Linked DNA regions of Astyanax mexicanus. The main gene of each other region encodes a partner of the protein of the gene in region 2 in a complex. Links are inferred from orthologs where the notes say so. Each region holds a gene or a part of one and is shown on either strand. Other genes may lie near its edges.

Region 1 (16,697 bases), on a different chromosome or scaffold from region 2:
ACTTACCAGCCAGTGTTGGCCAGGGCGATGGAGACAGAACTGAGGAGCAGGCTGCACTTGGACTCGCTGATGATGGCTTCACAGTTCGTCCCAGGAGATATAACCACAAACTCACGAACTCCATACCTACAAGAAAATCAAAAAGGATATGCTCTAAGATCTGCACTGTACTATACAAACACACCTGTCAAGACCGAGAGATGGTCAGATGGTGTCAAGCATGTGTAGCAGCATCCCGGTAAGGAGTACCAAGAAATCTGTTTCTTGTCTGCAGTCAAGCATGGTGGTGGTAGCATCATGTTCTGGGGCAGCCTGAGTACTGCCAGCAATGGGGAGTTAAATTCCCACATGTACTGGGACATTCTGAAGTAGAGCACAATCCCCTGCCTACAGAGACTGGGCCGCATGGCAGTTTTTTTAACATGAGATCAACCCCAAGCACACATCCAAAATAAAACTGCTTTGCTGAGGAAGCTAAAGATAAAGGTGATGGACTGGCCAATATATATCTTTAGACCTAAACCCAATCCTCGCACCGATGGTAGAAAAGTGCAAGGTCTCAGAGGCAAAGAAGATTCTGACCTCTGTTTCTGCTTTTTTTGTTTTATATGAAGCCTTTTTGACAAAATACAGGGCAATTGGGAATTTAAAGAAAAATAAAGCTTGGAAGAAAGTAGTGGATGGCTCAATAGGTATTTTGCCAACATGCAGCAAAGGCTATATAAAAAAAAAAAAAGGAAAGGGGTTTGGCTGCTACTATTACACTACATTACTGCTACACAGATTTGCATATTGTGACACACCATCCACGACAATAGCACAGTTGAACCTGGGAGCTGCAGAAACGGAAATTACCACAATAAAAAGTTTTTTTTTTATGTTTAGGAAATGTTTAAGCCGGAGTGCGTTCCATTACTTGTAAGAAACACATTTCAGCTATACATGGAAAAAAATATGGTTTAGGATTTAGTTGCTCTTTAAAGAGCCCGTTTGGCAATACTATTTTTTAAAGTGTACACATCTGATATAAAGCTAGTTATAAAAAATATAAAGTAGTTAGTGGTGTAAATAAATAACAATATATCAGCATATCACAATATAACGTTTTGCAATACTATATCCATTCGCAAGAACACATTATCAATTTTTAACTATAAGTTTGCATGTAAAGATTGGTGTCAGACAGCAGTTCATTTAGTGTTGTGTTTAAACTCTGCCTATTAGATCATGTCATTAGATCCCACTGTTCTGATTAGATAAAAAAGTGTACTTTCCATTTACTTCGATTGGAAGCATACCATAACCATGGTAACCCTGCAGTGTTCTAGCCAATATAGCTCTATTAGTGGTTCTGTGCAGTTGTACGAACCATCTGACGAGGCAGTGAGCCCTGGGTGGGAAGTCGTTGTTCATACACAGCAGGTCCTGCATGGCCAGAGGGAAGGCATCTGTAGAAGAACAGGTTGTGACATTAGAGCAGAAGAGTCAAAGCAGCAGATATCTGCCCAGTATCTCTCCCCACAGTGATCTGATAACATCCGGGCCATACCTTCTTCCTCATCCTCCTTCCCCTCGCTCTCCACTGAATCCTGCTTCAGATAGTGGTGCGTTACGGAGAACTTAAAATCAGCAAAGTTGATCTCTTTAGACTTCTCCTCCCATGTGCCAGTGGTGTATTCACCCTATACCAGAGAGAGTAGAAGCAGACAGAAAATCGAAATAAATAAAAATAATTGATTTATTAGAATACCATTCCAGGTTGTTTTTTCTGTTCATTAAAGGCATTTAACAAATAAATAAATGTAAAGTAAAATGTCCAGATGATCCAGAACGCAGCAGCACGTCTGGTCTTCAACCAGCCAAAACGGGCACATGTCACCCCGCTGCTCATTGAGCTCCATTGGCTACCAGTTGATGCTCGCATCAAATTCAAAGCTCTTACTATCGCCTACAAGGTGATGACAGAACAGGCTCCTTCCTACCTGCACTCACTCCTGAAGGCTTACGCTACCTCCCGGCCGCTGAGCTCCTCCAATGAACGTCGCCTCGCTTTGCCAAACATTCACAAAAAGCAATCCAGACTGTTCTCATACAGAGTTCCCCAATGGTGGAACAAACTACCTTCCACTACCAGATCAGGAGAATCTCTCGCTATCTTTAAGAAACTCCTGAAGACAGAGCTCTTCAAAGAGCACTTACTCTCTTAACACCTCTAACACACTAACTACTTCTAACCTCATTTCCTTCTTCCCCTGCTTCACTCCTCTATCCTATTATTCCCTTTGACCTCCTTTTATCCCTATCCAAAGATGTTTTTACCTGTAAACTTATTTTACATTGTACTTGACTATTGTAAGTCGCTTTGGACAAAAGCGTCTGCCAAATGTAATGTAATGTAATGTAATGTAAAGAAATGAAATTAAATGGGGGACAATTTACCTTCTCTGGTGGTCTGCCAACATTGCTGCCAATCAGTTTCCAGTCATTCAGAACTTCCTCAACTCTGGACACAAACCTATGAACATCAAACACCAAAGGTTAACTGAGCATAGTGAGATATCTGCCCTAGAGTGCGATACTTCCCTTAAATAATATCACAATACTGCAGAATATTTTTCCGATACCTATGTTCTTGGCAATATGAACAAAAAAAAAACAAAAAAAAAAACACTGAGAAATATTTCAAGAAAATAAAAAATTCAAAAATTGTAATTTCATTAAAAAGTTCCTGTATTTCGGTAAATCAGTCCAAAATGTGAAACTATATATAAAAATATATATGCAACACAAAGTAATCTATTTTAAGCGTTTTTTTTTTGTTTTTTTTTTACAGCCAATGAAAACCCAAAAATCAGTGTCTCAGAAAATTTGAATATTATATAAGACCAATTTGTACTTTTGGCAGTGTGGGTAGTGTGCCAAGTCCTGCTGGAAAATGAAATCTGCATCTCCATAAAGGTTGTCAGCAGAGAACACTGCTTCATTATTATGTTTATTAAAACATCTTCAATGAAGTACAGTATTATTTATAGTTCTCATATCAATACCAGGTTCAGTTAATCAGAGCTTAAGAAAGGCATATAAGGTGAGCCGGTAATACAAATGAACACATCTGCTGTTTGGGGCATCCTAGAGAAATCCAGGATCAACCTTTGTTCTTCAGACTTGTTCTCAAGAACTCATCTACTTCGCTTTAAAATTAAATTCTTGTCATTTTTACTGTATTTATGTGTAACTTCATCTGTTCTAATTAAAACTGGGGTTTTTACAGTACAATCATTTACTGATGAAAGAATTGACTAAAACATCTGCACAGTTTTGTATAACCAAGTCGCACTGATTTTATCTTGCCGTAATTTAAAACCTTTATGGTTTCTAGCCATTGGTTTATTTTGGGGTCTGACCATCATTTTCATATCCTTCCTGTGTTCAGGCTACAAACACTGAGAGACAACAGTGATATGTAAACAGACAGCGTCTTTAGTCTTGACAGCCTGTGTACATACACAGTCAGTCCTCCATTGAACAAACAGTGCAATCAAACCCACACCTGGATTACTGCCAGGGTGTTGAGCTGTAAAACCCAAAGCTAATTATTTAAGCAATATCAAAAGTCCTCATGTTCACCACATGGACATGTGATCTTCTGCTACCTTGCTTCCGCTTGTTTGAACAGGACAGAATTTGAATATTTAGTCTTTGTTCTAAACATACAGACTCATACAAGTGTCTGTATTCCTAAAATCAAATCTAATTTCATGGACCCAAACAGCACCCAATAAATGATTCACACAACACATTAAATCATACCAATATGGAATCAATGTAAATGGCAATATTTCGATTTTAAATGTCTGGGATATATTAGAATATATGAATTTGCTCTAAATCCTATAACATACAATTACTGTCACACACAAATTCCATACACTGAAAGGTTATTCTGTTAAATTATCATTTAAGAAATGGTAGATTTTTTTTAAGTAATAGCAACAATATAACTGGGTTACATGAGTTGCCACAGCTTCTGTCATAGCTGGTCCCATTATTCCTCCCCCCCCAAAAAAAAAAAAAAAAAACTGGTGACCTGAAAGGTCAAACAAATGTTGCAATCTGATGGGGATATTCCTGAGACACCTGTTGATCAAATCCACCTAAGATAATCTAATTTCAGTCTTCGAAACCCCAATATGTGTAAAATAAAAACCAAATGTTGGACCATTCACTTCTGCTCACATCTAGTTAAAAATTATTCAGTTTTAAAAGTCTGTCAACTGGGCAAAACACACAACGATCTTTCACCAAGAGGAACACTGGCCAAAATTGATCTATAAGAGTCTTTATATAGAGCAGCACCTTATCACCCTTCTGTCTGTGGCAAAAAAAACAGGATGCTATTTTAGCAATTTTCAGCTTGCTTTAGGGAGTGTAAGTGTGCCTTTGCTATCGTAATGACGGGAAAAGTACATCTTGTGCATTTTGAAACACACCAATCAGCAGGACACTTGCCATTCTCTTTAAGAGCAAGGTAGGCTCTGACTTTGGCGGATAGCTATTTTAATGACACTGCTCTTCTGCAGTTCTCAGCAAAGAAAATTTACCAGCTTGTTTGTGCTGTGAAGGTGCGAGAGCAGGTCACTTATGGGAACAGCAATGTTGCCAAGATGACGATGAACATCTGATGGTTGACATCTGACTAGTTTCTAATTAGTCAGTGGAGCACCTTTGTTTTCCACTACCAACATAGTAATAAGCCAGAAATGTACCTGAACACACCTCACTTTAAGACCATCATACCCATCAGTGTAGATATATTCACAAACTTTGTTGCTACTTAAACAACACAGATGTAAGGCATGAAAATAGACTGTTGATGGGCTGTAGGACAGCATAGCTCAGTGTTTAAACTGACTACACCTGAAATCATTTACAAAATACCTTCAAGTGCACTATAAAGGCTGGTCTAACAGTCAACAATCTCTCACCAAGAGGAACACTACCTACAATTAGCCTTTGAGAGTCTTACCGCTACTGCCAACCTTATACCAAACAATTTTCAAACGAATATACTGTCGCAGATACATTTCCAGTGTTTGGATAAAATCATGAGAGTCTTGCTAGAGCTGAGTTGCGGTCGCGTCATCTCGATCGTTCAGTGTAAGGTGGTTAGGAATGATGGTTTAAGTAACTCTTTTTCTCCTCCTGGCGTTCAGGTTAAATCAACCATTTTTAATATTATAGTACGTCTTGAGACCTGGTTCATTCAAATAGTGATGAGAACAATGTCAACACCCAATAGGAGAGCTACAGGAAGCCATAAGGCAACCGCGAGAATGTTTACGGTTACTGGACATGCATAAGGCTCTGGCGATGGCTCGGAAACCATGGTTATTTATGACCAAGAACCAATGTTTCCTTACCACTTGCTATGCTACCTACAAGCTAGTAAACCCACAACCTTTTACAAACCACATCAACAGAAAAAACTTCAAATAAACACATGCTCACATAATTAGAAAAAACACACCACAAGATAGTTGATGTTTTTAGTTGCAGTCTTGAAAACAGTGAACCTGCAAGTTTCAGAGTCTTTGCAAAATCTTAGCTTGTGACTGGTCTGCAAGTAAAAAGTCTGTGACTTGTCTTTAAATGCGAGAAATTGTCATAGTTTAGTCTGTTAAATGTTACATTTTCGAAGTTGTCTAGTGTATAATTGGCATAACAGCACTCATAACAGCACAGCAATTACCAAATAAAACAATAACAGGATTAGGACATCAATATAATGAGCTTATATGGGTGGTTAAAGTAATTTGTTGTTTACAGTATGTTAAAGAAACACTGCAATATTAACCCTATCAAAGTAGCAATATTAACCCTGTTAAAACCCTAAATTAACACAATTCAATAAATAAATAAATAAGAAATATAAACTTTTAGCATCCCAAACCCCTACACACGTCATCACAAGTCACTGCTGACTACTCAAAACTAGCCAGTGCAATTTTTCTAGCTAGGTTAGCTAATAACGCTTCAAAATGCCTCAAAACTGCATTTTTGCGTACGAAACTACACATTAAAACAAACTAAAGACCTTAACTTAACACATGCAATCTAAAAGTGTCATTTATCCTGTAAAATAAATTAGTAAAAGCTGGAGAGTTAAGCTAGCTAAGCTAGGTTAGCCTGTCTGTGTGTCTGCAGGGTCTGTCAGAGGCCGCAGAGCTCCAGTATCTGCAGCAGCAGAGTTCTGATTCTAAACAGCGTGTTCCTGCAGAACAGAGCTCACACTGTTTATCAGGCTCTCTCTCTGGGTTCTGCTGGGTCAGGTATCAGGTGGAGCTCAGTCTGAGAGCTGTCTGACCCATAACTCAACCCGAACCCGAGCTGCAGGATCATCAGCTGATCGTTACTTACCTCTCCCACTCGGACGCGGTGGTGAAGTCGGTGATCTCGAACACCTCCGACTCGGGCTGTAAATAAAAACACACACAGCGCGGTTATACTCCCGTTAAAAAACCCGGTAATAATATAACCCTTAACTCTGAGTTTATATATCAGCTCTGATCAACCCAGACTCACATCACTGTCCGCCGCCATGACGGTCTCTGTTTATTATTTTTTTTCCCACCCCGCAGTGCACTGTGGGAAATGTATTCCAGAGATCACCTGTCCAGAGAGATAAATATACTTTATTTATTCAGTTCAAAAATGTGAATCTCATACATTATATATGTATTACACACAGAGACATCTGTTCTAAGCGAGTATTACCTTTATTGTTGATGGTTATGGCTAAGAAAATGATCAACTCTACAGTCTTTAAAACAGCAATTGTTAGTGTTTGTTGTTGAGTTCTTTATCGCTTTGTTAATATAGTCCTGAAATGCTGGTAAAACTGTTCCACCTAGTTGTTATAAGTGACTGAAATTGCTGGTTCCACACAGGCAGTGACATGCTCTCAGAATCAGAGTTCAAATCCTCTAAAAGAACAAAGAAACATTCACATTTTTAATGTGGATTAATACTAAAGAGGATTGAAGCTTAGGTTAAGTAGTTCATACTTTTAATAATGGGGTTTTAGAAACTGCTCTATATCAGACACTAAAAATATCATCAACACAGAAACATATATCAAATATACTTAAAACCAAAAAGATAAATCAAAGATAATTCAGCAAATTACTGTTATAAATTATAAAAATATTTGTATATTATTATGTATTGTATATATATATATATATATATATATATATATATATATATATATATATATATATATTTTTTTTTTTTTTTTTTTTTTTTTTTTTTTTTTTTTAGGTATATATTAACTCACTTCAACGTGCCTTTCACAATCATTCAGTCCCCAGTAACTAACTGTTCAGCGGGCAAACTTTCACTTTTTTTTATTTTTATTTTACCAGACATGGATATACTTTACAGTAGTCAGACGTGAAATGAGTTTTGATGGGAGCCATGATGCTCTTTCTGTTACTCATTGAATGCATCTCTTCCAGGACATAAATAAAATAAAAACCCTGCCTGCCCACACCAAAAACTGATTGGATAACTCAGACTCTTTGCAGAGAAAACATGCCAATCAGAACCCTCTCTGTTTTGCATGCGCTTCATGAACATGCACACGAGGGGAGTGCCTTTCTCTCCCTCTCCCCCTCTTTTTTACACATGATTGGGGAAAAAAGGCTCTGTTGCCTGTGTGCACGTTTATGTTCACTCTAGCCACTTGTTCTAGATTCCAGGAGATTTTATCTGACTTGAAATGTCCCTGGATAGGACCAATGTAAGATTAACCTAAGGTATTTTTTGCTTAGCCCAACTGAAGGCCACTGAAAACACATGTACAGTCCACACCCACCTAAACCCATCTAGCCCATGCATCACCCACATTACATGGCCAAAAATATTCGCTCAACGATCCAAATAATTTAATTCAGGTTCCAATCATTTATATGGCCACAGGTGTATAAAACCAAGCAGCTTGGTATACAGAGAGACTGCTTCTACAAACATTAGTGAAATAATGGGGGTCCAGTGGTGAAATTTCACTACTTACTACTAAATATTCCACAACTGTCAGTGATGTTGAGTAACTGGGAACAAAAACAACTCTCTTCTACAGACTGAATTATTCTAAAGACTGCAACTCCCAGCATGCTTTGCCCCGTGCCCCATCGTCACTTCCGTGATGATTCTGAAGGTTCTGGCTAGTCTGACAGCATCGATGCGATTACAGAAGTGACCCACAGAAAAGTGACCAGAACAGACCATCCAGACATCATGCGCTGGTTTGAGGGCTCGATCCCAGCGGCCATCGCCTCCTCCAAGCAGCGGAGCTCCGTGTTCGTGGTGGTGATCACAGGTAAACGAGCAGGAACGGCGCCGTACCTCGGTGTTAGCTTCCCTGAGTCAGGCCTGCCGAAACCCGGAGAATCCAGCTTACACAACACAGCAGCCCTCAGCAGCGGAGAGGGACATACGGAGCGACATTAAACACTGACCGAATGGGTTTTTAACCATTCGAGATACCCACAAACTACATTATTAGTGTTTACAGCTACATGACTAACAGTAAAGCAGCTAGCGCTGAGAATAGCTTTCTGCCTGGCTGATCTGTTTAGCCTGCTGTCATCCTGAAACACAAGCTAACCAGCCAGCTAGCTAACTAGTTTAGCTGTTGTTCACAGTTTTCTCTGTGTGTTAAGAGAATTCTTCAGCATAAACCATTTTCATGATTTTCCTTTAAATCATTCAGTTAACGAACACAATGCTTCCATCAGGCTTACAATGCTAGTGATAGGGGCATAGCATTGCACACGCAGAAAAATCTCTATTTTTACACTATTAACAAACTCAAAGCTGCATTTAAAACGAAGCACTGAGACTTTAAAGTATTTTTTTTTAATCCTGAGAAAAAAAAAATTGTTGTATCCATAATTTAATACTGAGAATGAGTGTACTATACAGATGTGTCTCAAAAAATGCTCTTGAGAGCCATGTTATCTGCTGGTGTTGGTCCACTGTGTTATATCAAGTCAAAAGTCAGTGCAGTGTTTTTCAGTTAAATCTTACAGCACTTTATTTTTCCCCTCTGCTGACAACTTTTATGGAAATACAGCTTTCATTTTCCAGCAGTACTTGGCACACTTGCCACACTGCCAAAAGTACCAAAATATATTAAACTGAATTATGACATCAAGTAAAATTTTAATTATATTCTAACGTTTTGAGATGCAACTGTATACCCAACACCTAATCCTGAGAAGGAGAATTGCTATATTTACAATGCAATACTGAGATTTTGATTTTTTATGTATTTAAAACAATTCTGAGAAGGAGAATTGCTAAATTCACAATGAAATCCTGAAATTTTTATTTTTTTATATATTTAAAACATAATTCTGACATTTAGATTGTTTATGTTTCTAAAACTTAATTCTGAGCATGAGGTAAGTGATATTGGCCTGAGAAAAAGATACATTAATAGATACAGCTTGGTGTGGCCTAATGGGTTATTTGCATTATGGCAATAACTTGGTATAGCCTGAGTGCCGTATAGCAAAAATGTATTAACTTATTAATAAGATTAATCTTTTGACTGTTTTTCCATGAATCGATTATTAATCAGATAAAAAGAATAAAATAATAAGAATTATAAGAATAATTAGAATACAAGGAAAAGGAAATATATATTTATATTTGAACATGTACATGCTATGACAGTCATAAAACTTGAAAAAGTCTTTAAATGTATTATTAAAATGTTTTGAAAACCCTGTCAATGCAAATGAGAGATACATTTACTAAAACTGAAATGAGAAAGTCTTGTTTAAGCACTCTAGCAGGCTGTAGTTACATTGAGTGAGTGAAAAAATTGTTGTTAAAAATACTTGTTGCTAAGATTAGCTTGACTAAAACTGTGATTTGTTTTGGAACTGCTGGTTGTGGTGCCACATTTAAGGTGGAAGGAAAAATGCTAAATTAGACTTCTTGTTTAGACTTCTTGTTGAACTGCTCTAGCAGGCTCTAAAAACATTAAGTGAGAGAAAAAATAGAATTAACTCACTACAAACTTACCGTGAATCTTTTTCACCTGTGGCTCCAACATGCATCCAGTCTAATGTTGCTTTACTGCCTCGGCTTTGGTTGGCTTACTGCCCCACATTAGGGAGTAGCAACTGTACTTAAAATAACATAGACCCAACTAAACGATTATTAAAGTAGTTGCCAACAACTTATTTTAATCTGTTTAATCGATTAGTTGTTGCAGCCCATTCATTATATGTAATGAGATATTTAATGTTACAGCCAAACTTGGTATGGTCTGAGAACAAGATAATTCTATTATGGCAACAACTGGCAACAAGTAATACCAGAGAATGTGATTAATATGTTATCCAGTTTTGAATCCAGTTTTCTTGCTGCAATGTTCCAGCAGTTATTTTAAAGCCTTCCCTGAAAAGCAGAAGCTCTACAGCTGTGGCAAGCTTTTTCCTTTTAATACCCTTGGTTTCAACTATCAGGAGAAGCTTTGGATGAGCATGTGTTTACAGACTTTTTAAGCGTTTAAATTACATCATAACTGATTTCGCAAGCTGGGTTAGTCTGTTTAGCTTGCTGGGGCATCAGATGGACATGCACAGCTGACTCTTGCAAAATCAGGTCTGATGAACTGAAATGATTGGGACTTAAATGTTTATCTCTAAAAAGTTGGCACCTTGTTTTGTTAAATCATCTTGATGATGCTGTTTTTATAGATATTTTCTCATTTAAACATATCTAGGAGATGATGAGCAGTCCAAGCAGATGCTGTTCAGTTGGGAAGATGAGCAGGTAGCAGAGCTCACAGACAACTGCTGTGTTGCAATTAAAGTAGACGCCAAAAGGTGAGGAACTGATCGGAGAATATTGCTCTAATGACGTGAAAATGACTAATGACTTGTTGTTTATGAAATGAATTCTCTGTTTGTTTTTCAGCGAGACGTGTGTCCAGTTCTCACAGATATGTATCCTTTGTAAAGAGCCCTTATTTGAAGCTTTCAAAGCAGAATTCCTTAGCATTTTTTAATCAATGTAATCCTCCTTTGACTGTTATAGGGAGAAGACCACCACCACTGTTGGTACTTTGGGCTTGGCATGCTGCTAACTGCACTCTGTTTCTCTGGTGAAGCGTGCAGGAAAGTTATATTTGAGTAAAATCCTGTATTATTGCTAGGGGTGGGAATCACAGGGCATCCCATGATACAGTATTATCACAATACGTTGCTTGCTATAATGATGATATTCTATACTGTAATTCAATGATACTCAATATATCACAATACAATTTTGTACGATACTTAATGGGCTCTGAGTTCTTGAAGAGGATAAAATGCTCCTGAATAAGAAAATACCTACATTCATGGATTTATTGGTGTCAGTTTCACAGAATTTTGCAACCAATAATCTGCACTGCAGGTTTGCCCTGTTCATTTGATTTAGTGCCACTACATGGAGTAATCAAGCAGTACCTTTCTACTGTAATTGGGGTGAGGTCTAAATTACTTATGTTTCAGTAAATGCATGGATTGCAACTAGGGGGTCGGCAGTAAACTATAATGATTGATATTGGAAAAAAAATCAATAAAATGCTTCTCTGGTGAGCTTTTGTTCACATTTCTTCTCTGTCTCTCCGGTGCACTCGGCATGACTTTAGTTTCCGCCTGTTCTCGTTTTTTTCCCGCCCTTTTTTGAGCTCTCTATCTTCTTATAAGGCCGTTTTTTCCCCCCGTTTTTTCCCCCGGTGTCCCAATTCTCTAGCCGAGGCAGCGTTAGTGTATTGGACTGGGAGCCTAAAGACATGGGTTCGCTCCCGCGTGAGGAGCGGTGTGCTATTTATTTATTTTTTTCCTTTCTTCTAGGATTTATGTTCTTTGAGATCAACTGTTCTGCAATTGGGTTCAACATCCCTCCGGGCTGGAGAGCTTCTAGTCTGTAGCACTCCATCCCATTACACTTAATTTTCTAAAACAGATTTCAGATGTCAGTATTTCAACCTATTCAAAGAATGTGGATTAAATGAACATTAAATGAATGGAAGAATCTTTTCACATTCATATTTGATGTTAAACAAATGGAGGAATGTATGGTTAGGAATTTTGCTCAAGGACTCTTATTAGTCCAGCCAATGAACTGAACCCTAGTCTTCCACAGGGGAGGCAGTATTGTTACCTAAATAAGGTTCTCCAACAGTTTTTTTTTAAGTGTAAATATTGGACTGGGTCTGAGTAAGTGAAAGAGAAAGTCAGAGTTCTTCATTTTAAGCCTGTTTATTGTTCCTTAATGCCGGTACCCTGCAGATCCAGTGGTGTGCATTCCATCCAGTTTTTTCATAGGTGAGAATGGTATTCCGCTGGAGGTCATTGCTGGCGGTGTTTCTGCAGAGGAGCTTAAGAAGAGGATAAACAAAGTCAGACAGGTAAACCAAAGGCTACAGCCAGAAAAACAGTTTCCTTCTTTTTCAGTGAGAAACCACAAGCCTAAAATAGTGCATGGGAATTAGGGGCCGTACAAGCATAATAGATTTGAATGATGCGATATTCCAAGCTTCGTGCTGTTCTGTTTCTTTGTTTTTAATGCTGTGCATTCTAGCAGAGCGCCCTATAGTGTAATGTAGGCTCACAATGTAAAATGTTAGAATATCATTAAAAAAAGTTACTTTATTTCAGTAATTATAGTTCAAATATGAAACTCTTATATGACATAGATGTATTACACACAGAGGGATCTATTTTAAATGTTTACAGCCAATGAAAACCCAAAAATCTGTTTCTCAGAAAATGCAAATATTATATAAGACCAAACCATCACTGATTGGTGGAAACTTCACACTAGACCTCAAGCAGTTTGGACTGTGTGTCTCTCCACTCTTCCTCCAGATTCTGCTCCCCTAATTTACAAATGAAATGCAAAATTAACTGATGTTCAGTGATGGTTTAAAGAGTCATGTCATCTGCTGGTGTTGGTCAACAGCAGGACTTGGCACACTGTCAAAAGTACCAGTTGGTCTTTATATAATATTCTAATTTTCTGAGACACTGATTTTTGGGTTTTCAATAGCTTGTACTTTGTGTGTAAGTCAGTTTTAGTTTTTAGTAGTTTTTGACCATGCTGCAAAAAAGCTTTATCTATCTATCTGTCTGTCTGTCTGTCTGTCTGTCTGTCGAGTGTGGAAGTATATTCTTGCCATGTCCTTAATCTTGAGTTATAGCTGGTTAAAATAAACAAGACAAGCTGTGTGTGTTCAGTTACACATGGGTGTAACTTAAAGTAGCTGAATGCATTTATTAGAAGGGGGATCCACAAACTTTTGGATGTATAGTTTAAAGTCTGGCACAGCATATTATATACAGCGTTTAATAAATAAAAAACATTTATTTCATATATTGATGCATTTTATGCATTTATTATTAGCTTATTTACTTTTGTTATTATTTGTTACAAACATAAAGATAATAGGATCAGTGTTGGCTAATACTCAGGTTGGATTGGTGAAAAAGAAACTGGATCAGGACATAACCTTCTTTTCTATATAATATAACAATGTGCTTTCACCTGTTTGGGTCTGAACCAAAGTGAAAGGGGCTGTGTGCCACAGTCCGGAACAAAAGACCAGAGTTTAAATTGACCAAATGAAGTAGTCTCGGTCCGGATCTACTGAACCATGGTCCGGTTCATATGCAGTGTGAAAGCACTTTACTAAATGGTGTGTTTAGATTTCAATTACAAGAAGTTGAGGCAGTGTTTAAACAAACCAGAGGAAAAAAAAAAAACTGGTGTTGTGCTGACATCTGACTTCTCTTGCCGTGTAGGTGCCTCAAGCAGCAGTATGAACACATAGACTTAGACTGGAATTCATTTATTTACTGAAACAGTAAACAGTAGATTAACTCTTATTTATAAAAATAAATAAAATAAATCTGAAGATAGATTATTTTTTACACTCATTCTTCTGTAGGGGAGTGCGTGACATGGAAGGGTAGTCAGATTCTGACCGAGAGCTAGAATTCTCACAACACCTGGCGAAGCTGAACATTCTACAAACCTATTAATATAAAGTATAGAGAGACTCCGTCTACGTAGCTGATGACAACAGGATGTTTTCCTTTAAGTTGTTTAGTGCGATCCCTAAACTGCAGTCTGAAGCCAAAACTATCTGTACCAAATGTACACTATACAATGTGACAAAGATAAAAACTTCAGTGCAGACTTTTAGATGTGAAAATGCCCGAAATCTGTTTTTTCTTATACTTTTCTTATAGATTTTTAGAAATCCTGCTGATGTGTTGTTCAGTTTTATTGGAACATTGTATCATTGGAACGTCTATAGGATGTTCAGAGCATCTGTGCTCCAGATGATGAATGTTATTATAATAGCAGATGACTCAGGTGTAATGACTGTTTTTTCTTATGCTGTGCTATACAGATGCACTCTCAGCAGACGAGCGGCGTGGAACAGGCCAACGCAGTGACAGAAATGCAGCCGGAGAGTTCCGCTGCAGCCCCGAAGACCCCGCCCCCAGCTCCTCAAGCCCATTCAGTGAACAGGTCATCCATCTCAGCGGAGAATCCCCCCACTGCTGCTGCTTCTAAAGGTGAGAGATGCATTCCAGCTGCTGGAAGATTTACCTGAATCTAGTGTTCACTTACTGTGCCTTATTGCTGTGCTGAGAGTGCGCATTGTTCAGTGGTGCTTAAAAGTTTGTGAACCCTATAGAGTTGTATATATTTCTGCATAAATATGACCTAAAACCTCATCAGAAGTGCTAAAAGTAGATCTTTTGGGGTCATTGTCTTGTTGCATGATCCACCTTCTCTAGAGATTCAGTTCAGGGCAGATGTCCTGACATTTTCCTTTAAAATTCTCTGATATGATTTAGAATTCATGGTTCCATCAAGTATGTAAGGGTGTCCTTACCCATTCCTTGATACTTCCACCACCATGTTTCACAGATGGGATAAGGTTTTTATGCTGGAATTCTGAGGGGTTCACAAACCTTTAAGCAACACTATATCTGGTCCTTTGGTGGTCTTGTGGTGGTCCCATTTCACGGATGGACTGGTGGCTGATAAATTGCCTCAGCAGTGATTTTACATAGTACACTTTTAGGTTTCATAAATGTTTTCTTTTTTTTGGGCAATACTAATTTTAACTACACACCAAAGTTTAATTTTTTGGCAGAAACTAAAACCAAATACCATTTTTTGCAGGTTTTCATAAACCTTTGCCACTTAAGTAGGTAAAGTGCATTTTGTCCTAATTTTCAGAGAAAATGTCATTACAAAACCTCAATTTAAAAATATTAATTGGTACTCTGAACATCTCTTGAATATCCTGGCTGGCTGTGTTAATGATTGCATCATCAAAATATAATTATTCTGACTAACTTACTGTATTCAGGACTTATTTCTTACTGAGCCAAACTTGTTTTTAAATTTTTAACATGTTTGCTTGCCATATATTTTGGGCATCACTACTTTTTACTGCAAAAACTCCAAATTACATGCAGGTGAACATATATGCTAGAGCTGGGTATCACCACTAATTTACTTACAAGGTCATAATTTGATTTAATATTAATGAATTAATTTAGGAACATTTGTTACAATTTCAAGTTTTAGTCGGATATAAAACAAATTTTCAGAGTTCTAAGAGTAACTAACTTACTATTATCACAAATATTCGTGTTTACATGAAGAATAAATTCAAAACTCTTTGTTATTAATGTGTCTAACACAACAGTGTACAGAAGTGTAAACATACACTTTAATATGAGTTTCACACACTTCCACACAACTGACAATGTCAGAAAAGACTTTTGAATATATTATTTTATAAATGTTTGGCATAGAGAGCACAAACTAATTACTAAAAATGAGATGCATCTTGTTTAACTGCTCCAGGAGGCTTTAATAACTTTGAGTGACAATAAAACTTCTCTCTAATGTTAGATTCTCTATAAAACCATGGCATGTCTTTGAACTCCTGATTGATTTCTGGTTTCTATGAATTGATATCAGAACATTTAAGTAAGTTTTTTTTAAACCCACAGCACAATCAATACAGTAACAAGTAGAAACAAAGTATCATTGTAAAGAAATAAGCTAAGATCTTCTGATTTGCAATACAGACAGACTTATAAAACTTTCAACAGTTTAAATCTATGGACTGAACAGGATGCAGCATGCAAATTTCCATACTTTGCATGTTTCAAGTCTCAATTTCAGTTCATTTAAGACACCTGTGAACATTGCTTAGAAGATCTCGGCACACATTGAATCAAGATCTGCCAATCTACTAAATCACGCTGATTTAGTTTTTCCCTTTTTTATTTGTCGTTCTAGAATCTCTTTCCATGCCTGTGGAGGAAGGAGGGGCTTCAGGTCACGCGACTCCAGGGGACGACAGAAGCCTGTCATCAGATGACACGTCACAGGCCTCACAAGCAGAGGAAGCCTTGGACTCCAAGGTGGAAAGGTAGCTTGGAATGGGCAATGGGTGATGTATGGGTTTAGAGGCAGGGCAGGAGGGAGAGCTGATTGGCTGAGCTGCAACAGCAGCACTGTGCCTCTGATAACGTTCAGAGGCAGACGATTGGACGACAGCTGGGGAAGGGTGGTATTATTGATCGACTGATCTA
Region 2 (16,651 bases):
TCACCCTGGCTCACCGGAACACTCAGTGTTTTTTTCAGTGTAGCGCTGTCAGGCAGTGTTTACTAGCGTTCACGCTAATGCTGCTGCACCCCGCCTTAGTGGTAAAAAATATATATAAAAAAGTAATATTACTATGAAAAGAGCTCTCGTATTGGAGTTTATATCTGTATTAGCAGTTGTATATTGGAATCAGATTGGAACTAAATAAATATGTGTCGGCCCATCACTGCATTTAAACAAGTCTGGTTAATGATCAGTTGACCCCAAGCCTTGAGCGATTTATTTAAATAATCCTAATGTTCCTTATTATGCAGTTAGTTAATTCTTTCTTCAAACATTTGAATCCTGAATAAATCATCCATCAATGTTGTACCTTCCCTTTCAGATCCTGAAACCTTCAGAAAAGAAGGCAAAGTACCAGTACGGGGGCGTGAACTCGGGCCGTCCCGTCACTCCTCCCCGCACCACACAGGCCCCCAAGAAAAGGTGAGCGGCCTGCCCCACCCACCAGCGAGAAACCCACTCCACGACCAATACATCCCACCCGATGCTCTACAAGCCCCCAGGAAACGACACCCCTCTCTGGAGGAGTCTACCCCTCCCCCGTCTCTTTTCCTGTACTCTTTTCTTAATATTTGTGTACATACATTTTGCAGTGACCGGTTGATGATTATCTCTTTCATTATTTCTTTCTGCTTGTTTGAAGGTATTATTTTTATTAACATCAATAATAATAATAATAACAACATTGCTGATTATGGTAATGTGTTTGGGGTGGATTTTAAGTGTGTTTGCCAGTGCACATGCTGTCTCACGCCCTATGTTTCATTCTCTCTCTCTCTCTCTCTCTCTCTCTCTTTTTACTTCTTTCTCTCAAATTCAGTATTTTTCAGTAAGTTAGGGTGGATTTACATGGGAGGGTAATTTAAAGGAATATGCCTGCAGTTTTCAACCTGATGTCTGTCTGCTGCACCTGTTTCCACCCTTTTTTTCTGCACTTTAAAAAAAAAAAAAGATTAGAATACCTACACCAACTCTAAAACACATTTAAATCAGTCAGTGGCCATGAGCTCAATTCCTAAGTCTATGGCATAGCCAGCTCAATATTATTGGCCTACGTGGTTGTATGCATTTAAACGTTGTGTTTGTGTTTGCACCACTGCACCACTCTGCAATTATACCTCCAAAACAATAGTTTGTGTGAATATGATGCTCAGTGGGTCATAGTTGCTGTGGTCTGCATAGCTGTAAAGACTAGTTGCATTTCTAGGGAGGCATAAGTCAGGCTTTGGCGTAGGTTATGCAGTAAATTACTTGTTTACGTATTGGTTATGCATAGACTATGGCGTAGATTTGACGCAGAGGCATGATTTGAACTTTTACCCATTGGCTTCAGACTGCTAAAAGATAATAGATCTGCTGTCTATCTTATGATCTTATTTTTTAAGTAAATATCATCGGATGGACTGTTGTGGTCTTTTAGGGTGTACTCACACTAGGCAATCTGTGCCGTGCCCGGTCACAGTTAACTCCCAAAGCACGGCTCGATTAACTAGTGTGGTTGCTCTGAACCGTGCCCTGGTTGGTTCGCTTTAAGAGGCAGGCTAGGGCACGGTTCACTTGGACTTGAGCACAGTACGCATGCATTGTGAGCACGATTTGTGGGCAAGCACGGAATCAGATGACATTAGCGATGCAACATTCCTGTAAACAAACATGCAGATGGTGTTTTGCCAAATTCAGCACCACCGCCAGGAAAAGCGCACGATATGGCGTGACTAAAATAAATATGACTTTTGCCCTAAAAACAGATTGTCTCCGATTTTATCAAGAAAACGCGCTCCCGAGAGAGGGTGCTTTGCATGGTGGGGGGTGCTGAATTCAACACAACACCAGCAAGCCCACTGAGCAGTGAGTAATGTTGTGAGCGTGCTCAGGCATGGATTGTTTAAACGCAGTGTGAGTGCAGAACAGTGGGGGAGTGGGGAGGGATACAAACAAACCATGATTAGTGTGAGTACACCATTAGAAACAACTCAGACTTCAAATATTTGAATCTCAGCTTTTTTAGAAATAGAACTGTCAAGGGTCAAATAATAATATAATAATATTTGGCAGTTCTTTATTCTTCTTTATTCAGATATATTTTTATGTCTTCAGAGGTCCTTCTCATACCTTGATATACTGTTGTCTCACGCCTGTGGTTCGGCCTTTCTGTTCCTTTTTTCATTGATCTTCCCAACAAATCCCCAGAAGATCTTAATCTTAATGATGTTTCAGTTACATCAACTACTGATCGAAAACATCTGCTAAATACACATCTGGGTGCATCCTCTCAGCAGTTCTGTTAGACTGCCTGTGTTCTAGATACAGACAAACAGCCACCCTGCAGCAGGTGTAACAGATTGTAACAGACATTAGGCTGGAAAGTGCAGGATTGTGTGGGTTTGGCTGGTTTTTTATGTTTGCCTTGATCAGTCCTAAAGCAGTATCACCCCTCAAGAGTAAAGACACACATTCTTGGACTCACACACATACAATTGCTTCATGTCTCCAATTTTGTCTTAATACTTGCTCTGTCTCAAACAATGCACACAGGCCGCTCTAGAGTATGATGTAATGCAGCTTGATACAAAATAAAACCTGGATACATTCATTTGTCCTTGTAATCTATGTAAGTCCATGATTCATTTGGATGTGGGACTTCTATGAAACTCTGTGCAGGAGGAGCACATTAACTGCTGATCTTATTCTCGGAAACATGAGACTTATAAACACGCATATTAACAGTATTTAATAATTGCACATTTTCAACCTCAAATCTTTTTCCCAGTATTTTTCATTTCCAGATGTTTACATGTTTACAGCTTGTTTACCCTTCTCTCAAGAGCTCTGAGAAGCAGTCATGGTGTCTGTTTGGACGCCAGTGAAATTAAAACCGGATGCTTTATTAAAGCTGCTGTTTGGTGAATGTATTAGAGATAGGTGTTCCTGTGTAGACTTCAAAAAGTGATGTGAGGAAGGAAACGAACAGTGCACCAGAAGAACTTTACATATCTTTAGTCTGTCCCTCTTTTACTTTACTTTTTTTTTTTGTTATATATCCCCTTCTCTCTCTATCTCTCCCTCTCTCCATTACTCTTTTTTTTTTCTGCCCTTACTCGCAATACTGTTCTCTGCAGGACAGACGTGGTACAGTAACTGGCTGTGGATTAAATCTATTGTAATGGCACCCCCTGGTGTACACAGAAAAAATAATCATTATTAAAAAAAATAATAATTCCATTATTATTACTCACTTTATTATTACTTCACTGACCAGCAAAGTGGTCAGTGCTGATTGGAGGTACAGAAAAGACCCCCCCCCCCCCCCCCATAAAACCTCTAATCGTTCGCTTACATCAGTCAAAAACACATAACTGTTCTTTGTGTGTGCACATTGTTGCCTCATTAATATGTCGTAATTTCTTTTTTATTAATATTATCATTTTTAATGTGTTTGTTTTTATTTCCTTAATTTATATTTGGATGTTGGAGAAACTGAAAGTGTTACAAAAAGCAGCTTTGAGATTTGTATTAGTGGATATTTCAGGTTCTTTAAACTCAATAAATGGAAGAAAAAAAGTTTGTCTTGTCTGTGTATTATTTGTGTTTTTTCAGCTGAGAGCACAAACTCACAAACAGAAGACAACAGTGGGGAATTATCACAGAATTCTTTCCATGGTGAAGAAAAATACTTCACAACATCCACCCAAGTGAAGAACACTCCAGAAAGGAGGTTTTATCAGTATCTTACAATAAAAAGTCTACCATAAAAAGAAGACTTAATAAGAGCAAACACAGAGGGTACAAATCATTAACAGGAAGGCCAGATTAGACTTTACCAAAAAACACCTAAAGAAGCCAGACCAGTTCTTGGACATCGTTCTTCGGACAATCTAAAATTAACCTGTACCAAAATGATGGGAAGAAGAAAACTCGATACAAATCTCACCACATCCTCTGTAAAACATGGTGGTGGTAGTAAGATGGTATGGGCGTGCATGGCTTTCAGTGTCACTGGGTCACCAGTGTTTATTGAAGATGTGACAGAAGCAGAAGGATGAATTCTGAAGTGTACAGTATGGCTTCACATTAATGTCAAAAGTCGAGGGCGCAAAAATACAAGTGAAAAAAATTAACTAGCGAGTGTAAATTAACTTCTCGTGAGCCCAAATGTGAAACTAGCGAGCATAAAAAAAAGAATTGTGCGCGCGCTGAAGAAAATGTTGCTCTCGAGCTTCATTTTTCTCCTTTTGTGTGCTTTTTTCTCGTTTGTTTAATTTCAAATCCAGTGTGGTGGCATGCAGAGCCCAAATTATAAAGATTGTGTCACTCAATATCTAAATATGTATGGGTATAACTGTATACTCTGATTAATAAGAGTTCCTGTAATTTGTTTTTGAGCAGTATATAGATACATAGACAGACATAGAGAGAGTGATATGTAGTTGTGTTTAAATATAATAATAGTGTACTTGAAATGTATGCAGAATAACTAAAGTTTACTGTTTCTACTTATAGACTTATGCTATTTATAGTAAGACTACTTTTACTAAATGATGAACTTTTATGTGTTAAAATGTTACTTAAAACGTTTGTTTAGTGTAGGTGAAGAAACCTAAATAGCAAATGCGTGCAGCAATGACATATCTTGCTTTTGTTTTTACCAGTTTATATACACCTCCTCAAAATGAATGTGATGTTACATCTACAATTTAAGCACACTTTTATTGTTTTTAATGTTTAGTTGGATTCAGAGAGTCCTATTCTATTGGCAATACCGTTCTTCAGGGATTAGATAAGCTAACTGCATTTTCATATACAACAATGGCTGCAATTTAATAGTAGCTCAAGGCATGAATTAGATAGATAATAGAGATGCATGTTTTTGTGTTACAGTAAAAATATAAACACAGAACAACCATAACAGTAAAAGCCCTGTGCTAATATTGTGTAGGTCTGCCATTAATATTATGGCTAACTGTTCTGTATTTATATTCCACACTACAAGACCGTCACAGTTGTGTGACACGGTTTCCTTTCTGTAAAATCTGTGCTGATGGCGACACCTTGTGCACACAGTGCTTTATCACAATAAGACAAAAATGTTTACGCGGATACTATCTTATTATTATGAAATATTATACTAATAAATAATAAACAAATAATAATAAATATTATCAAATTATTTTGAGATCAATGAAGTCATTATTGTTTTATACTAAGTCATTATTTTGATAATATCTTATTACTCTGAGATTTAAGTCATTTTTGTGAAACTAAGTTAATATTTTCAGATACTATCTCATTATGTTGCAATGCTACGTAAATATTTTGGGATACTATCTCGTTATTTTGAGAAGCTAAGTCACTATTTTGGGATACTCATTATTTTGAGGTGAGCTAAATACAAACTTTTTCAACTCTAAATGGGGGATAAAGTTTTGTATCCATTGTAATTCTTCTAAATATCTTGTCTGTGTGTGTATAATTTACAGGAGAGTCAGAAAAAAATACAAAAGCCTGATAAAATTAATGCATAATCTGGATAAAATGTGAAGGCGAAAACTGAAAAAAGTTCCCATCAGCTGCTATACAGTCAAATTTTGACCTGAGGTGGGAAAATATATTTTTTCAAAGGCTTAAACAATCAACTATCAAAAAAACAAAAAACATTTTTAAGGTATTTGTCTCATGAAAAATATGATACAACAGTCACCCATATGTGTGACCTTAAAGGAGTACAAGCCTCAATTCACTTTTTGCCTTTACTAAAGAACCCCCCAAGAAAAACACATGGACAGAATTGTTGGTACCCCTCGGTTGCTAAAAAATAAAGGGAAAATCACAATGGTCACAGAAATAACCAAAAATACACAAATGAAATCCGACATTGATTTTGACCCTGGTTCAACAGAATTATTTTAAAAAGTAAACTCATTAAACAGGCCTACACAAAAATGATGGTACACCTGATAATGTGACCAAAGGGACAGCATCACAGGTGTCTACAGTCTTGTAATCAGTCAGTGGGTCTATATAAAGAGATTAAAGGTGAACTTCAAACTCAAGGAACATCAGTGTCAGATCGCACCATCCGTCTTTGTTTGAGCCAAAGTGGACTTAATGGGAGACGACCACCATTGTTGGAAAAAAAAAAACATAAATACCCAGACTGGAATTGGTCAAACTACATGTTGACAACCCTCAAAGCTTCTGGGAGGATGTCCTATAGATCACAGTCTCTACTGTGAAACATGTCGGAGGTTCTGTTATCTGTTATCTTTTAGTAACCAAGAGGTACCAACAAAGTCCATGTGTGTATAATGTAATATGTATAATTTCAAACCACAGACCTCCAGATGTTTTTCAGCTTTATTGCTTCTTTCAGCTCCTTTTAGGTCTTAAAAGGTCTTGTTTTTTTACTTGTCTCAGGATCCAGACTGGTCCGCCCTCACAGGCCTGTTATCTCTCCAGTGGGCCCAGGCCTGGTCCACAGCCTTCTTCACAGGTTCATTGTAGATCCAGTAGAGCAGGGCGAGTAGGATGCAGGGCAGGCCCAGGTGCAGCTCAGCCAGCACCCACAGCAGCAGCAGCCAAAGGACAGCCTGGAGGACGAGGAGAAGGGGCATGGTCCAGGGCGATGAATTCAGCCAGCTGACTGCTGTGTTGACCACCCTGCAGTTTCTCAGCTCTGTAGCTCTCTCAGACAACCAGAGGCCTAAAGCACTGTTTCTAAGCCAGGTCACCAACCTGCAGTTCAGTATGGCTGAAACCATCAGCTGGACACAAAAAAATATATATTTTTAGCCCAACATATTCTTAAAAAAACAATTAGTTGTAAACTTAAATGAAAAATTTTCCACTCTTTAAATGATCAATGAAAGCTGGGCATGGTTCAGGCTGTAAAACAGTTAGATGTATGTTTTCATTACCTGATGATTTTCCACAGGCTGAAGCTCAGAAGCTTTCTGGTCGTTTAAAGCATGTTTAGGTTTTCTCCTGTGAAAACGTCTTCTCCTTCTGGCCTGCATTATAATCAGATCCTCTACCTCCAAAGTCAGATATTCTGTGGAGTATACAGCAGCTAAGGCATGTGGTTTATGTTATGTGTGAAAAAAATAAGGGAAAATGATGAAAGAAAAGTAGTATTTGGTCAGAAACATCTGCAACGAAAGACCGTTTACAGACAGTTACTCTGATCAAGGATGACACTGTTTTGTTTTCAGCAAATAATTAATTAGTAATAGAACAAATAATTATTTTTTCTGGACTTTAATTCATAAAATTAAATAGTTAAAGTTTAGCAATAAATCACTTTAACAAATAAAATAACAAAAGAGTATTAAATTAGTGTTCAGCAGTTAACCACTTAAACAAATAAAGTGAAAAAAAGGATTAAATTAGTGTTCAGCAGTTAACCACTTAAACAAATAAAGTAAAATAACGTTAAATATTAAATTATTGTTCAGCAGTTAAAGGTTTACAGTTAAACTATAAAACTAGCTAACCTAGTTATGTTACCTTATGTTTTATGTCATGTCATGTTATGTTATGTTATGTTAACCTAAGTTACCAAATTAGTGGTTTGAATCCAGGGCCAAACAGACTGCAGAAATTAACAGTATTGTACAGAGTTTTTAAAAATAAACAAACACTTTTAATAAATAAATATCAAAATATAAATAAATATAATTAATATACAAATAATAAAACAATCAAAAAACTAATCCTAGCCCTTATTATAGTGTTAAACCTAGGTTAAACCAGGTCTAAATAATTGTTAATTGTTAGTTAGCACTGTTAGCTAACTAGCTGTTTTGTTAGCTAGCGTTAACTAGCTAATATGTAGGGACTAAAGTGTACTGCCTAAATCATCTAAAAAATATAGTTATAAATGAGTTAAATGTTTAATAGTAGGTTTAGTCTAATAAATTATAATATTAAGTCTAATAAATCTAAAATTACTCTGAACGCAGCAGAATTATGACGCTACCTGTTAGCTGCTAGCTACGTTAGCTAGTAGAGGTGCGTAGTCCAGGTCCAGAAAGTGGAAACAACTAGAACAAAATCCCTGGAATGTCCTCAAAGCTAAATGTGGTCTTTGGAATTTAAAGTATAAAACATATTCTGGTTTGTTTAACACTTTTTTTTTATCACAAAATAAGTCAGCATGTGTTTCTCTGTAGCTTTAATATAGTCTTTATTATTAAATTTACAATGTAAAAAAAAAAAAAAGATTAAATAAGAAGAGTTTCCCAATTTTAAACTGGTACTGTAATGTTTTTTTTATTATTAGTAATTCATTTTACACATATTTTTAAAATAAATTAATTTAACCCTCTGTTAATTTGTCAGGAACAGCTATGGTGTTCCTGGGCCAATTTGGGGTAAGAGGACTGCACAGCATCCTGACACCGCTCTCCCCTCCCTTCAGGACAAATACAGCTCCAGCTTCACAAGAAAAGCCCTCTGCCTGGCAGGAGACCCCATCCACTAACTACACAGCTTCTTCAGCCTGCTGCCATCAGGGAGGAGTCCGGGGCTAGGACCAGCAGACTGAGGGACAGCTCCATCCATCAGGCTGTGAGGATGCTCAACTCTTTCCCTGCTCTACCCCCATCCCCATCCTGCCCCTCAGCATCCTGAGTTAGTACTGGAATCAACACAGTACTGTAAGTTAGTACTGGAATCAGCACACTACTGAAACTTAGTACTGTAATCAACATAGTACTGAAACTTAGTACTGTAATCAGCACAGTACTGGAACTTAGTACTGTAATCATCACAGTATTGGAACTTAGTACTGTAATCAACACAGTACTGACACCTAGTACTGTAATCAACACAGTACTGTAACTTAGTGCTGTAATTAAAACTTAACTGGGGAAAAATGGAAACTGATAGTTTAAGTATTAAGTTTTAACTTTGAAAAATACAAAATTGCCTCACGCATATTTGGTGTACATTATTATCTCTCATTCTTTTAGATCTATATTTTTATCTTGCTGTACTTGCTGTAATTTTGGAAAAGAGAGTTACGTAATTGAAATCCTCTGCAGGTACTGTACACATTCAATATTGACAATAAACCACTTGACTTGGCTTGACTGCTGTACAGCATGTAGAGCATCCAGGCCAGCAGGGGGCGCGGTGCTGCCGTTAGCGGAGCCCGAGCTTCCTCCACAGCTGAGGATGTGTCACTCTCAGCCCGAGAGCAAAACAACAGTTTGGACCGAATTTCTCTCTGATTTTACCCACATTTATTCATTTTTCTAACATTTGAAAACCGCCTGCACCTTGTAGGTAACACATAAACGGGTTTATAATTTTAGGCGAGCATTTAGAGCCGCAGAAACACTGTATTTTACTGTATTTGCTGCGTTTTTTGGCGCTCCTGCTGCTGCTGCTCCTTAATGCCCCAGCCCGGGGCAGATTAGCCACAGGCTGAGCTTTGCCTCGCCGTGTAAGGATGTCCTGCTGTCTGCAGGACTTCTGTCGGGTCCAGGAGCTCCGGCAGGTCCGGGAGTTCCTCTTCCCCAGCCAGAAGCCAGCTGCTGCGGGGCCGGCGGAGAGCAAAGACCCAGCAGGTGAGTGGAGGACAGGAGGCTCCTGGTTCCTTGGTTGTCTTGTTTTCTGGTTTTCATTTTAGTAACTGAACTTAATTTTTAGTTTTATTTTATCTTATAAGTGTTGAAAATATTGTAAAAGGTAAGGAGTAGTTGTTAAAATAAAGAGCATGTGCAAAAAAGAGTTCAGAAAAGGGAGGAAGAACACACTTTGACCCAAAGCCCCCCAAACAGCTGCAAGCTTTCGTTAGCTGAAGCTAGCTGTTGTTAACAGTTAACTAGGTTAGTGTAGAAAAATCTGTCTTAGCTTTTTGTGTTGCATGTTCGTTGATCCAAGGATTCAGACGACACGGAGATTGAGAGTGAACAAGTATGATTTATTTCAGATCTGGGAAGAACATTTCAGATCTGGGAAGAACATTACAGGCATGTCGCCCCGAGTTCTTCTGAACCTCGGCATTTCTGACTCCATCCTTTATACCCTTTTGTGACGAACCTAGTTGCTAGGTGGCTTCTCATTTTTATGCTTATCTTTCCAAATATGGTATACTTCAGTTTTCCAGACTTTCTTTAGGAACCCGAAAGCTGTCTTGACCTTTGCTTCTGAGAAATCGTAGGTGGTCAACTTCCCTTGCCAAGGTGACAAGGGAGAATCAATTTCCCCTTTGCGACATGTCTTAAGGTCAACAAGGCACGGTTCCTCTCAATTCATACTCTCTTTTATTGATAATAATTTTACTACATCTACAGTAAGATTAATTAGTTAGTATATCTTTAACAAAGCTTGAAGCTGCATGTATAATTTTGTAGACGCAATCTTCTAATGCAAGGTTACACAATGTACTTCATTCACTGGTTTCTATACGGCTCTCCCCTGGTTGACCTGTCCCTAGAGTGTAGGAGTAAAAGAGGAACTCTTCCTAGAGCCCAGGAGTAAAAGAGGAACTCTTTTAGTCTGCTAGCCTCTGTAACCTCAAGATGTTTACCAGTAAAACGAGGAAGCGTGCTTTCTCGGTTGGGCCATTCAAATGTCATTGCTGATTTTATGAATCAAATAATAACTGTGTGTACGTGTGGTTTAGTGACTAACTCTTGATTCAGTGATTAATGATTAGTAGAATATAGATTTATAGCTTTCATAGATCTATTTGTGTAATATGTGTTTTAATCATAGTTTAAGAAATCATAGGTTAAGATTTTGGCTATCATGATTATTGTAAGCTAATCTTGTTATTTTATAATCTTCCACATTAGCTAGCATGATTTTTCTATTTTATTTTTTTTAACTCATAGTACTAACACATATATGATAGCTAAGCTAGTTTAGTAGCCTGGATTAAAGCTGCACAAAGAAAAGGCCTACAAAAACACGAAAATAGAAAAGCAGTAGCCAAAATAAAAGGTGCTTGTTTGAATGTTCCATTCCACCTTAAATCCTACAGTAGTTCTTACCAGAATCCTACTAGCGCCAGACTGTTAACTTACTTCTTCAGTATTTAAGGTGGCATTGAAAGTTCCAAGCTTTAGCTTTTATAAAACATCAGTAAACAATATTGTGACAGTAAATATACACGTTCCTGATGATTGCCAGTCCTGCATGACTCTGATATAGTTCTGATGAGCTTCAGAGCTAAAAGAAACAACATGACCATCCATCATCTCTACTGGACTGGGCTTAGATTAAGCCTAATCCTGGTCTCAGTTGCTGTGCCATCCAGTATTGAGAAAAGGCCTTTGTAAAGAAAATCATCCCAATATCAGTAAAAGTGGCTGCTTGCTTAGTCATGCTAGGTTTAGCAGCTACTGGGATTGTTGGGATTATAGGATTGGTTCCCCAGTCCTGGATTTTAGAAGTATTGCATATCCTAGTATTTTCTCTGCTGTAACACACCCTCTTAGCCCTAATGTTGATTAGCTGGAGATACAGCACTGGAAGAAATTAAGAGACCACTTCAGTTTCTGAATCAGTTTCTCTGATTTTGCTATTTATAGTTATATGTTTGAGTAAAATTACCATTTTTGTGTTATTCTATAAACTACGGACAACATTTCTTCCAAATTCCAAATAAAAATATTGTCATGTAGAGCATTTATTTGCAGAAAATGATAAATGGTTGAAATGACAAAAAAGATGCAAAGCTTTCAGACCTCAAACAATGCAAAGAAAACAAGTTCATATGCATAAAGTTTTAAGACCTCAGAAATCAATATTTGGTGGATTAACCCTGGTTTTAATCACAGTTTTCATGCATCTTGGCATGTTCTCCTCCACCAGTCTTACACACTGCTTTTGAATAACTTTATGCCATTCCTGTTGTAAAAATTCAAGCAGTTCATTTTTAAGTGGTCTCTTATTTTTTTCCAGAGCTGTTTGTGGGGTCTGTTGCTAGTAAGTAATGGATGCTTATTGGTAGGGGTGTGCCAAATCATGTTGTATCATATTTAACAATATTGAGTTAGTATTTTATACTCATATGAGCCACCAGGGTACAGCCTTTTTCCAATTAACATCCGGAGCACTGACTTAGTGGTATGATTGCTTTGGCCTCAACCATTACTCTAATACTTTATGGTCCAGAACTGCCTCTTTTGTGTATCATGGTCTAATTATTTAATAATTAGGGGAAAAAGCAAAATCGACATTCTAATAAAAATGGTTCTGGCTGTCATAATTATACTGAAACCCTTTTTAGTGCTATATATAACTATTTACATAAGGTGCAATCTAGAGACACCTTTATAAGTAACTTCAGATGCTTTACTTCAAGATTAAGAAAAAAAGAAAACATTGATAACGCTCCATAAAAGTAGAATAGCCATATTACACTGATTACCTCTAAAACAAGGGTCTTTTAACATAAGATGAAAGCAAGAAGAATTTGACTGTGTAGACAGAACAGAAGGGTTCATGATCTAAGGCAATACCTTGTCATCTGTCACACATGGTGGAGGCAGTGGCATGCCATGGGCATTAAAATAATTTGTGTTTATTGATAGATTGGTTACTGATATAAGCAGAAAGTATCAGAAAGTATCTACAAGCACTACTTTCCTTTGATCTTCTGTGAAATGATGCAGAATGAATATACTTCACTGTACATCTGGTTAAAGCAACTCAAGTGCTTCTTTAGCTTTAGTGTCTATTGATCTCATCATTATATAGATTATTGATGAAATTGACCCCATGCCAGAAGACTGTGGAGTAGGAATAGAACGGTTCAGAATCAATATTAATGAAGCAATATTACATTGTCAAACTGTCAAACATGGTGGAGGAAGTGTCATGGCTGGTAGAATGGGTTGTAGCACGCTGAATTCCTTGAAAGTGTTAGACATCCATGTTTAGCTTAGAAATAATGATATGCTGGTTTTTCATGGATGGGATAAAGCAAACCAAGAGCTGCCCAAGATAAAGTAGGTCAGGCCAGCCAGGTCAGCTGAGCATGTTTCTTTACTTACTGAACACAAAAGTAAAGGAGGTAAGCAACTGAATGTGGCTGCAGTAAAAATCTTGCAAAACATCTCAGGAGACGAAACTCAGTATTAAGTGATGTCCATGGGTTCCACCGTTTAGCTGCCCTACAGTGACAGAGCAAGCGAGAGAGAGAGGGATGGAGGAAGGGAGGGAGCGAGAGAGCACTGTGTTTGCCCTTTACTGAATGAGTCATCCTGAACGACTAGAATATATTACACAGTGGTAGAGGAAGAGAACGATTGAACGATTAAAGAAGAAAAGGCCTTCTGCACAACCTGCTTTGGTTATTCTCTGTCCAATTCATTCATAAAATGATTCTGAATCATATAGAATGACTCCTAATGAATCAAACCCTGAGAGTCCCTGGGGTTCTGAATCATTTCTCAAAGGAGCAAATTTATCTGAATTGTTGTGAGGTTGGTTATTTACAGCGCTCACATGAACAAACTGACGTCACAGTCAGTGCTGCTGCACACACACACACACACACACACACACACACACACACACACACACACCTGCAGAGGATGATGCAGACTGACAGTCAGACAGTGAGATTCACTCTGACAGAATGAGCAGCTCTTCTGGAACAGAGAACAGCTTTCAGCCCCAGAGAAAAGACTGCAAGGACATGGACACACACACACACACACACACACACACACATACACACACACACACACACACACACACACACACACACACACACACACACACACACACACACACATGCACATCACTTTTATGAAGGTGCCTGTGCTTCCACACTGCCATATTTAACACATCTCTCTTTGTGGTTCTATCTCTCCCTCTTCTTTTTCTCTCACTCTGTCACATTCACTATTCACACTTTCCCTTTTCCTCTCTCTTTCTTCTCTTTGTCCTTTTTCCTCTTTCACTCCTTTTCCTGTTCTTAATCTCCTTGTTCTTCTTTCTCGCTTTCTGTATTTCTGTTTCTTTCTCCCCTCTTTTCTCTCCCTTTTCACTTATTTCTGCTCCTTCTCTCTATGCTTTTACGACTGTTCTTTTTCTTCTGTATTTTTCCTCTGTCTCCTTCCTGCTGTCCCTTCTTTTCCTCTCTTCCTCCCTTCACCCCTCTCTCTCTCTCTCTCTCTCTCTCTCTCCCTCCGTAGAGAATGAGTTGACGTGGGATGACTCAGACTGGGGATCGTGGGAGACGTCAGCAGAGAATAAAGAAGATGGAGAGACGGTCTGTCCTCAGTTTTAATCTGTCTGTTCCCCTGTTTTACCCTCAGATCCACAGTGTCACCAAAGCATCACTGCATTATTTTAGCTCAGATTATTTATAAGTATACACACATGCACACAAGAGCTGATTATTTTATTATTACTGTTTATTTTTGATTTAGGGATTGGCAGTATAACTGCAGATTTTGGGTTACACAGTGCCTCATGGATATCGTTAGTGCTTAAAGAACTGTTTAATTGAATGTAGTGCAGCACACTTTGAATGCAAATTATTATATTTAGTATGGGAGAGTATTTGAATAGCAATTTGTTTTTGAAGAATCTGCCAGTACTAATGCATTTTGTCAGCAATCACATCTATCTTCATAAATATTGTGTATTATGAAGACTGAAATAAATGTAATAATACTTTCTATTGTCCTACGGTTGCATCACAATACTCTCTGTATGTGGTTCTCTCTCTCTCTCTCTCTGCAGGCTGAAGAAGAGGTACAGCATGGGCCGTGGCTGCAGGACTGTGTTCTCTCTATCTCTCCGTGCTCAGACCTCATGGTCATCGCTCGAGAACATAAGGCTGCATTTCTCTCTGGTATTCACATATGCATATATATATATATATATATATATATATAATATATATATATATATATATATATATATATATATATAATATATATATATATATAGGTATAAGTATATGTAGCCTCACGTTGGCTTTATTTCCCCCTAGACATACAAGTATATACCGGTATTTTAATAGACTTACATTACTACCTAATAGGCTTACATTTATTCCTTTATTTCCAGTTATACAGCCACTATAAATACTTCTTAAGAATATTTATGAATATAACTTCTATAAAATCTTAAGAAGAACTAGTGCGATTAAACGCAGTTAATCACAGAATACTGTTGTGATAAATCTGATTACATTGTTTTATTCTGTTGACACCACTAAATGTGTCATAATTCATGAAGAGTGAATTAATAGAAATGTTCCAACATGACTTGAACTAAAATCTTAATACGTTGACTTCTATTAATTTTTTTTCTCCAGTAAAGTTGACAATTTAATGATACTAAGTATATATGTTACAGGAGTGAAATACTGTAGATTTATATTTATATATTTATGAAACTATTTATTTATATAAATAGCTACATACCTACACACACCTGCTGCTGACTGTTCCCATACTGCTGACTGATTGAATGCTGTATTGATTTGTAGCTAAATGGCAGAATGATGACTCTGGGAGGGAGGAGATGACCCTGGCAGTGTCCTGGAGTGGTATGCTGAACGCTGAAGAGGGGTAAGAATGGAACTTATAGCCAGAACTAAGAGGAATAAAGCTATTAAATACATATTTTTGAGTTCATTTGTGATTTAGAACATTAAATACCCAGTAAAGGGTAGTGCTGGGCGATATAACGATATCGATTTGTTTCGCGATAATTTTTCCCTCGATGACGATGATAAGCCTGTGCAATAGAATTCGATAAACATTCATTTCCATTTCCGTCTAAGTGGCGCGGCAAACAACGAAAACACAACGTGTAATCAATCCAGAAGACGCTGGAGCAAATTAATAAATAGTTAAGAAAATTGTAATAGTTATTCTCATGCATGCAACAAAAAACCCTAAAGAATAGTGGAGTATGGCCCGACACACGCAAACAACCATAGTGTTTGGACTTTGGGAATAAACGGCCGCACTGTTCAGCACGTTTTAAATAAATTTTAAGTAAATTTTAAGCACTAAATGTAATTAATTCAATTTATATTAGGACCTCGGGGCAGGTGCTGCAAAAATGTGTATGTGGGGCGCGGATTAAAGGAAGAGGTTTTTTTGCGGAGCGGTAACAGGACAAAAACACCTTAAGAATGATGTCTAAATGACTTTCCTCTAATCTAATATAATTTAACATGGTTTAAGGATATAAAATAATTTCTAAACAAACGAACTTTTTAATATTGAGCTTATGGCCCAAGTGCAAAAACACAAAATCATTTATCATTTAGATTATCTGCCTGAACGCGAGCCCGAACCCGAGCTTGAACGCCAGCCTGACTCAGGCGCTGCATGAACTCGGGCCGGTCGAGAACACCGCTTTCCTCTCAGATTAGGCGGAAGAAAATGGTCTTTTTTTTAATGTAACAAATCACACTGTGATTTTTGTGATATTTCCCCAATTACAGCTCAGCTGCGCGTTTAAAGCTCAACGCATGAATTAATCGGTGCGCTGTGCGCCGCGCGTGCTCGCGGGGGATTTGACGCGTCTGTCAAGCAAGTTAATGGACCGTTTTGGGGGCAGAGATTAAGAAGTACAGCAGGTACATCTCAGATTTGTAGTT

Evidence for each region.
Region 1: the proteins of rab3gap2 (region 2) and rab3gap1 are in contact, whole or in part, in a cryo-EM structure (PDB 8VYB), measured with the Homo sapiens proteins. The link is inferred for Astyanax mexicanus from reciprocal best matches to the Homo sapiens genes RAB3GAP2 and RAB3GAP1. Residues at the interface, in NP_036546.2 of Homo sapiens: Arg197, His198, Pro199, Gly200, Ser276, Pro277, Phe278, Asp279, Met281, Lys282, Ser285, Asn286, Ile287, Gly289, Phe290, Asn291, Ala292, Ile294, Arg377, Phe378, Gly379, Leu380, Pro381, Asp382, Arg385, Cys395, Thr397, Leu398, Arg407, Arg415; in NP_036365.1 of Homo sapiens: Thr19, Ser21, Trp23, Glu24, Glu142, Ser143, Asn146, Leu147, Leu149, Ser150, Ser153, Ile154, Ile169, His170, Trp173, Arg174, Met176, Arg187, Asp189, Glu191, Met192, Val193, His194, Leu195, Arg196, Pro199, Tyr202, Ile211, Ser214, Lys215.

What each region holds. Positions count from the first base shown.
Region 1 is NC_064418.1:15,187,590-15,204,286, forward strand, and holds the start of rab3gap1 (rab3 GTPase-activating protein catalytic subunit), read right to left. Parts: upstream 6,659-16,697; 5' UTR 6,601-6,658; coding exon 6,583-6,600; intron 6,474-6,582; coding exon 6,418-6,473; intron 2,516-6,417; coding exon 2,440-2,515; intron 1,683-2,439; coding exon 1,550-1,682; intron 1,449-1,549; coding exon 1,370-1,448; intron 127-1,369; coding exon 7-126; intron 1-6. Other genes in the region: ubxn4 (UBX domain-containing protein 4), read left to right, coding at 8,299-8,380, 10,802-10,904, 10,996-11,024, 12,357-12,475, 14,483-14,651, 16,402-16,534. UniProt on the Homo sapiens protein: Catalytic subunit of the Rab3 GTPase-activating (Rab3GAP) complex composed of RAB3GAP1 and RAB3GAP2, which has GTPase-activating protein (GAP) activity towards various Rab3 subfamily members (RAB3A, RAB3B, RAB3C and RAB3D), RAB5A and RAB43, and guanine nucleotide exchange factor (GEF) activity towards RAB18.
Region 2 is NC_064421.1:42,290,291-42,306,941, reverse strand, and holds the start of rab3gap2 (rab3 GTPase-activating protein non-catalytic subunit), read left to right. Parts: upstream 1-9,209; 5' UTR 9,210-9,514; coding exon 9,515-9,632; intron 9,633-14,219; coding exon 14,220-14,296; intron 14,297-14,772; coding exon 14,773-14,884; intron 14,885-15,526; coding exon 15,527-15,608; intron 15,609-16,651. Other genes in the region: ppp1cb (serine/threonine-protein phosphatase PP1-beta catalytic subunit), read left to right, coding at 386-490. UniProt on the Homo sapiens protein: Regulatory subunit of the Rab3 GTPase-activating (Rab3GAP) complex composed of RAB3GAP1 and RAB3GAP2, which has GTPase-activating protein (GAP) activity towards various Rab3 subfamily members (RAB3A, RAB3B, RAB3C and RAB3D), RAB5A and RAB43, and guanine nucleotide exchange factor (GEF) activity towards RAB18.